Arabidopsis thaliana: one gene and its partner. The protein of the gene in region 1 interacts with the protein of each later gene in a pairwise test. Each region holds a gene or a part of one and is shown on either strand. Other genes may lie near its edges.

What was found. Proteins that work in one complex are often made in the same cells at the same time.
Region 2: the proteins of AT5G17560 (region 1) and AT2G20270 interact in a two-hybrid assay, tested with the Arabidopsis thaliana proteins (one study listed by BioGRID).

What each region holds. Positions count from the first base shown.
Region 1 is NC_003076.8:5,786,491-5,790,503, forward strand, and holds AT5G17560 (BolA-like family protein), read left to right. Parts: upstream 1-1,867; 5' UTR 1,868-1,983; coding exon 1,984-2,307; intron 2,308-2,642; coding exon 2,643-2,710; coding exon of another isoform or gene 2,711-2,714; exon of another isoform or gene 2,715-2,885; coding exon of another isoform or gene 2,886-2,904; exon of another isoform or gene 2,905-3,039; coding exon 3,040-3,181; 3' UTR 3,182-3,474; downstream 3,475-4,013. Other genes in the region: PEX19-2 (peroxin 19-2), read right to left, coding at 253-298, 381-697, 1,006-1,294, 1,464-1,503, 1,631-1,676.
Region 2 is NC_003071.7:8,737,255-8,741,658, forward strand, and holds AT2G20270 (Thioredoxin superfamily protein), read right to left. Parts: upstream 2,407-4,404; 5' UTR 2,364-2,406; coding exon 2,077-2,363; intron 1,967-2,076; coding exon 1,893-1,966; intron 1,330-1,892; coding exon 1,174-1,329; intron 1,015-1,173; coding exon 988-1,014; intron 824-987; coding exon 747-823; 3' UTR 532-746; downstream 1-531. Other genes in the region: PSAE-2 (photosystem I subunit E-2), read left to right, coding at 143-208, 286-390; AT2G20280 (Zinc finger C-x8-C-x5-C-x3-H type family protein), read right to left, coding at 2,800-3,000, 3,114-3,216, 3,313-3,443, 3,532-3,723, 4,271-4,362. UniProt on the Arabidopsis thaliana protein: May only reduce GSH-thiol disulfides, but not protein disulfides.

The sequences.
Region 1 (4,013 bases):
GAATTGGATGAAGAGCACGTTTATGTTTCAGTGAATTTATGAATTTGTGTGTAGAGATTCAAAATTATTCCAAAACAGAACTAACCAAAAGGAACAAGAACCGAAACCCAATAACTTTGGTATTCAGGTAAGAAAAAAAAAAGAACTTAAACAAGCTTTGCATTGTACAATGCACAAGAGAAACAAAAACATGTTCTCCATTCTTCAATGGCTGGACAAGGCCAAACAGTTTTCTAAAACCTGTTTCTTCCCTCACATTACACAACAATTTGGTGAAGACTCGAGCATGTCCGGAGACCTGTGAACATATATATATACAAAACTTAGTCACCTTGGGGTCTTTAAAGATCACAGAGATTCCAATAAGGAAGAAGACTTACATTTGGCCCAGACTAGCGAAATCAAAGCCAGGATCCATCTCTTGCACTATATCACTCGGTGGTTGTCCACACTCTTGCATCTTCTGCATTATCTCCATTATCTTGGTCGAATTGTTTGGTTCGTTCTCGTACACCAAGTTGAGTTCTTTGATAAGTTCATACTGGCGTGAATAACGATCGAATTCTTCCTTGTTTAGACTGGATTCATGCTCTTCTAGCCATTTTGGGTATCTTGCACCAATCTCTTTCATTGGTTCGTGAAGAATATCCTTCGATAACAGCTGTTGCATCATCGTGTCCACTATCGACTCCAAGTCCTAAACAAAAACATGGAAATTATGAAATGAGAAATCATAAAAACAAAACTTCTAGTGATCAAGACTACTTTCAAATGGTTCTGCAAACTAATTCTCATCTTCAATTGTGGTTTTTTCGATATTAGTATCAGTATCACTACTATTAACACAGCCTTCAAAACTACTTTGCAACATGTGTTACTACTCTGCAACAACCTTAACTAGATGAAACTTTAGTAATCTAATCTAATCAGAGAACTTGAAGATAAAGAGAACATTAAACTAGATAAGTATAGCAAGAAGTAACAACTCAGTTTGTGTATACTTACGTTAGACCCAGTAAGATTCTCGAATTGCTTGATCCAATCTTCAACCATAGCATCATCAGAACCTGTAGGTTGCTGCTTCGATGACAAGGACTCAAGTCCCTTCACAGTTTCTCTAGTTTGTTCCCTGAGTTTATCAAGTGCCTCAGTAACATGGTCCTCTTTAGCAATCTTTTTCTTTCCTTTCTTCTTACTCCTCATATCTGGTAACCCCATTCCAAGACCTTGAACCCCACTTGGCAATGACTCTGTCTCTTTTTTATCACCCTCTTCTTTCTTAACCCCTCCATTTCTACATAAATCCAAAGCTAATCAACACCACAATTCCCACCAAAAACATAACAGAACCTCTAATTTAGTATTGATGTAACCACAATCTCAAAACTCTAGAGCTAAGTAATCTAACCACGTGGCATAGATACAATTAGAGAGAGACAGAGATTATGAGAAAAAGGAGTAACCTTTGAGTAAGATTAAGATCCTTGAAATCATCCAAGGCACCTGAGAAAGACCCAGAATTCTAAATTATAGAAAACGAACCCACAAGAACAAAAACGTTTTTCACCAATCACCTAGAATTGGTGAACATGTTATCAAATCAAATTAAAATTCGTTAGGAAATTATTACTATCGAGAAGCTCGTCTAAGTCATCGGTGTGAGTATCGTTGGCCATATTCTCGAGTCTCTCTTCCTCAACTCTCGAAGAAACTCACAAAATTCGAAGAGGAAGAGAGAATTATCGCATTGAAGAGAGAAACAAATTTCCAAAGGCGGTGTTGTTCAATTGATCAAGTTCAGGATTCGATCCAACGGCTGACATTATTTCCATTAAAGAATTATATTATTAAAATCTTAAAATGACTTGAAACCACGAAAGCCCATTAAGTTTAACTGTGTTGTGTCGTAAGCCCATTTTTTCAAGAACCAACGACATTGCCACAGAACATTTTTTTTTTTTTTACTCGCAAGTCTCTCAAGCAATGGCGCAGACATTAATGGCGACAACTCGTCCGTACGTTCTTCTCTCTTCCACAAGAGCGAGTCTTTATCGCCTTTTTCAATCTTCAAAGAGACCCTTCGCTTCATTCTCAGCTCCTCTCGTGAGATTCACTAACTCGAGATGTGTAAGCGCCGTTTTGTCTCGTAAAGAGACTGCGCCGTCGTCGATTTACGGCAATAGAGTTTCTAGGGTTTCTGGGTTTGGTGCTTTGGACATTCGCAGCCTTAATTTCAGTACTAAATCCTCTCAAATCAATGATGCTGGTTCTATTGATCAAACCCTTATGCAATCCATGGAGCTAAAGGTTGGATTTTTATACCTCATTAACTAATTTCAGTGAAATTGATTCATTGTGTATGTTTCAGTGTCAATTCAATTTATAGGTTATAGTATTATTAGTGAATTTTTGAAGGAATTGATTGGATACTTGGTATTGGCAACATGTGTCATATTTAGTTGATGGAAACTTGGTATTGGCAACACGATTGCTCTCAGTAGCTCCAAAATGATCAAGATCACTAAGCTAAGATAATTAATGAGGAATCATGTCTCTTACTTATATGATTGAAGCAAACGATTCTTTTTTTCGATTTATCAACACATGTCTCTCTACTTATGAGGTTTTGGCTTCATTTGCAGATCAAAGAACAATTGAATGCAGAGTCGGTTACTGTAACGGATATGTCTGGAGATGGACGTCATGTCTGGTAAGTACTCTGATTTAACTCATTTTTGTCTTCCAATGATGATTCTTTATTACACTTGAGTGAAGTTGCAGATGTGTGTTATCACTGTTATGGATAGTGTTTAGTGAAGTTTGTTAGATATATAGATAAATTCATATTTTGAGATTCCTTTTCTTTCATTTTAATCACAAAAAAGTTTCAGGTTCAACAAGTAGTAGAATCATCAAAGTTGGGATATAAGTTAGTACTTATTCTTCTGCTCTTGATGGAATCCAGTCATAGATTCTTACTTTAACTTGTCATATTAGATGGTTCTGTTACTTAATACCAGTTTTGCTTAATATTTGTAGCATCAATGTGGTATCATCGGCTTTTGAGGGACAATCTGCAGTGAACAGACAAAGGATGGTCTACAAAGCCATTTGGGAAGAGCTTCAGAACGTTGTTCATGCCGTTGATCAAATGACAACAAAGACTCCTTCTGAAGTTTGAAGCGTTAAATTTTCCGAACTCTAAAAGGCTTCAATATCTTATATTATTTGATTAGCTGACAATGCTGTTTGTTTTATCAAAAAGAAAAAAGCAAAAGGAACTGATATACAGCTTTTGGTTATTTTTTAAGTACTTTGATTGGTTCTCTTGCAACCCGCCAACACATGTTAAGTGTTGGAGCGTTTGCGGTTTGCGGTTACACGTGTTTGGCGTTTTCAATCGCTCTAAATGAATAAGAACAAAATTAGCGTTTGTGGTGGCGGATTATCTTCAAAATAAACTTTATTCTCTACTAGCTAATGTTATCATTTCAAAAAAAAAAATTTAGTCGATAAATAGATTAAAATATATTTGTGGTCATAAAAATTATATGTATGCATGGAAACGTATCAATTCAAAACTGAAAAGTTTTTTGCAATGAAAATTGTAAGATTTATAATAATATGATTGTTGCTTTTATATACATGTTACATGCATGAATAGTGAATAACTGAATATTGAACTACTATGGTTGATTTGGGAACCGTATTAGCCATCAACTAGACAAAAATCGTTTATATCAGTAGTAGCAACACTTAATAATGGTTACAACTAGTCCATCTGCTCAAATTCCCATATCTTTACTTTAGCTACATGGATTAACAGTTTTTTTTTTTTTGTTATCGGTTATTATACCATCATTAGAAACATAATGTTGTTTTGTAAAAAAAGAAAACACTCATATTGTTACAACTTGGAAACATAAGTTCATTTAACTCCAATTATTACAAGTAGACAAACATAGGTTTTATAGATACTATACTACCACAACCCATCACATGTTTTTTTTCAC
Region 2 (4,404 bases), on another chromosome or scaffold:
CTTAATTAGATGCTAGTAGAGAAGATTGGACTAATATTTGAGCTAAACTGGGTATCATCAATAAGTTCTGGGTCTATTTAGTATACATATTAAGAGTTATAGGGCTACTGTGAAATTTATAAACAATTTTGAGGACTTACAGGTCAAGATTCTAAGGAAAGAATCATACTGGTACAAGAACGTTGGATCAGTTGTGGCCGTTGATCAGGTAATGCATTTACTTTTGAAGTTAACGATCTAACGGTTAGATATCGTTTCATCTTATATTCCGGTCTAAATTGTCAGGACCCGAAGACCCGATATCCGGTTGTGGTCCGGTTCGCCAAGGTGAATTACGCGAATATATCGACCAACAACTACGCATTGGACGAGGTGGAAGAAGTAAAATGAGAGACATGGTTTATCTCTAAACCGGTTCGTCTGTTTGTAATCTTAAACAAAACCGTATGTACCAAAAAGTTAACCAACAATTCATCTTTTATCTTTTACAATCTCAAGATCGATTTCCAAATATGCATTTAGCCACCCAAAAATGATTGCAAATTCCAAGTAGTGTGGATCAAACTCAGCAACTCCGGTTTAGTAACAGAACCCAGCATGACTCATTGACTGTTTTTTGTACGTAGAAAGAAACACAAGATTCTTATTGAAAATCTCTATATAGACAGTAAATTCAAACAGCAAATCATCTCGACTTCAATAAGGAAACATGAAGAATCACCAACCAGTTTCATCTCTAGAAATCTCTAGGTCTGACCGTTTTTTCCATTGGCTTCAGCTAAAATTGCTTCCAGCTCTCCTTTATTGTGCAGCTGCAATGTATCTGTTCAACAATAATGATATGCAGGTCAAGTTACCAGAAAAATCACAAGACATTGAGCAAGATCTTGAGTACTATCTATCTTGGTGCCAAAATACACAAAGACGATCTCAATTACATATTAGAAAAATCTCGGTGTTGAGGTAAGAAAGGAAGAGAGATTGTACCTGAGCAGCCACCAATGTGCTTGCCTCCTGGTCATGAACAAAAACATGATATCAAAATTAGATAAGTGATGGTCATAGCAAATGTAGTGGCTAAGATTTTATCGATAGTTTTGTTTTCAGGCAAAATAATCAAGAAAAATGATCAGAGTATAGTTAGTAACTGGCTTAAATGATGAAACAACTAACCGATGAAAACATTGGGAACAGTGTATTGTCCAGTAATTTTCTCCAACACATTCTGCAGCTGCGACCCTTCTGAACCTGGAAACGCCAAAAACCACCAAAACTTTTGTAAATGTTTCAGACCAATATCATGAGGCAGAGATGTTTTACCCAAAGAAACTAAACAAGACAAGAAAGAACAAATGGTTTTGGAAAGTCACCAAATCTTGACACGAGAAAAGATAACTAAGAAGATAGCAACATAATAGTTTCTAACAAATAGAAGCATACTGTCTAAGATTCAAAGGCAGGAAAGAATCTTCAATTTGAAAAATTTAAGCCATTAGAAGTACTAGCCTACCCGTTGATTCTTCATCAACAAGTCATTGGTCCAAGGAAAACTACAGTGGAAGTAAATTTTTCACATAAACAAGACACAGAATCTCTGAAATGTAAAGCTATCTTAGGCCATTAGAAACCCCCCTAACCATCATCAATCCTCCATCAAAATCTAATCAAAAAACATACAAACCAATTCAAGCAAGCAGCCAAATGAACCAGAAGATAAACAAGAAGAAGTTGGAAACAAGTATTAATTTCATCCAGTCAAAATGCTGAAACATTAGGGCACTTGTAACCAGCTCTTCCTTGATCGATATAAACAATATCACACACATTATCAAAACCAATATAGCAAACTACTCAGACCCATATAGCAAACCAAAGTAAAGAATTGAGCATACCAAGTTGATCCAATTCAACAACCAGTGGCTCAACTTGAAGACTCTTGAACAAGGACTTCACTTGAGACGAGTATCTTCACCACCAAAAAGAACAAACCCAGTAAAAGTATCAATATTGACAAACTAGATCATAAATTAACAAAACCCATTCCTCTAATTGAACCAAAAAGTATAGTGAACCTACGAGCACCAGGTTTTGGAGTAAACAACGACAGGGTTCTCTGCCACAGTCGTTTTAACAGTCTCCTCCAATGTCGATCCAGACGAAGACGATGATGAAGACATAGCCTTAACAGAAGAACAACGGAGTGGTGGCCACGACGCGATTCCGATAACTGTCGGCTTTAGACATCTCCTGAAAGGTAACATGCCCAAGTTTCTGATTCCGCTTAACATGGAGAAAGAGATTGCTGGATTTGAATTTAACGACGTCCATGTCATGTTCGCGAGGTTTACTGTTGCGGCTACCATGGCGATTTCTTCTTCCGACGAAATTGGATGCTTTTCTTATTTTTGCCCTCAGATTAATTTACCTCTTTTTATATCGCCGATATTTTTTGTTCTTTATTTATAAATATCAATAAAACAACTAAATATTCATAAGAATTGATTAAAATTCTTTGTTTTTAATACATTTCTGTAGTTTTTATTTTCTCTAGTAAGTTTACGACCTTTTATTTACACATCATGATAAAATTAACAACAACAAAGAAAGATGAAAATGATTGGACAAAAAAGATACTACTAGTTCTTTGATGAGGCCATTTAAGACTGTAAAACAGTAACAGAAATTATTCAACACCCCAAAATGGGGTTTGTGTCTGCAAAATCCAATCTATTGAAAGTACACAAAAACAAAACATGTGCTTTCTCTCCTCCACCTCTTCCTCTTAGACCATTTTTCATTTCAAGATGACCCTTCGTCGTTTGGCTCACGAATCTGGATCGATGTTTTCGACAAGCTTGCTTCCAATTCATCCAGCTCATCCATGTCTAGGTCATCATCATCATCATCGTCATCTTCTTCTTCTTCATTGACTTCTTTCGAACTCTGTTCAGCATCACCACTACTCTTGCTTGTCCCTGCCTCTGCTTCTTTGTTCTTTGCCTGAAAAGCAAAAAACTCAAGATTCCATTAACATGACTTGGTTGTTTTAAATGATGAGTGAGTGAGAGAGAGAGAGAGAGAGAGAGAGAGAGAGAGAGAGAGAGAGAGCTCACCTTTTGTTCAGTCTCTTCCTGCTCTCTTTCCCTCTCGTATTCTTCACAAGCCTCAGCATCATCCACAAACAAGCTTGCATTGGACAGAAACAGCTCCCGACCACTGAGGTTACAAATCCACACAATGAATCAGCTTCCAAGGACAAAAATAGAGTCACACTGGAGATGGATATGTAACAGAATGATGAATGGGGATTACCTCATACGGTCGTTCTTAGCTCTCTCCGCTTGAGAAGCAGCCAAACCGGCATCTCTCTCAGCAATTTTCTTCCTCTTCCATTCCATAAATAGTGCAGGAGTCATTTGTGTTGCGGTTTGCAGTTTTGCACGCTGAAACATAGAACAAGAAAACATGGGTCTCACAAATCAAGTACCGGGTCCTAGCAGCTATGAGGGAAACTTGAGGAGTATTTTAAACCTCGTTTTCGATTTCGTCCTCAACTGCCAGCTTCTTCGATGACTCCTCTTCCAAGAGGGCTTTCATTTGAGATTTAAGGACATATCCAGGAGGAAGCGCGTGTCTGTAATGACACTCTTTGCCACCATTGGGGCATGACCAGAACCACCCATACTGTTTCTTTTCCACAGCATCCAGAAAATACTTGCAAACCTATTATTTTTCAGTAAACACAAAAACAATTACAAGTCAATAAAACTCAGCGAGACAAATAACTCATGTGTTTAGGATAAGTTTATGAGATGATTATTGAGATGAGACGCAGAGATATTATTTCTTTTAGCATAGACGTATATAGTTAAGAAACATTTATTTCAAAATTATGATTAGCACTAACATCACCAAAAGCATGAGTTCTTGTCAGGCATGAACCAAGTGCGCAGAAAAACACAAGGGAACAACGGGAGGCATAATAACATCTAAGACCCTAATGGCTCTTAATATGAACCGTGCTATTAGCTAAAGGAAGCGCATCGTAAGGCGAATGCACATCAGCTAAAGGTTAATCACAGCAAGTGCAACCAAAACTAATGCATCACTTCACATAATACACGTTAAAAGGCTGTATATTTGAACACAAACCAGTTCAGACATTTTCACAGTGCATTAACAAGAGAAAAGCTACTAATAACTGATAAGCATGTCCCGACAAGCATATAATAAAAAGTCCGAGAAACACAAGATAAGAGAAACAACTTACGATATCTGTTGGCTTATTCTGATTATATTCATTTTTCTTTGATTCAACAACCTTTTCAAGGGTCTCTTGATCCCACTCATCCATATCTCCATCTAAAGCCATATAAAAAAGGCAAAAATATGACCATCATCCAA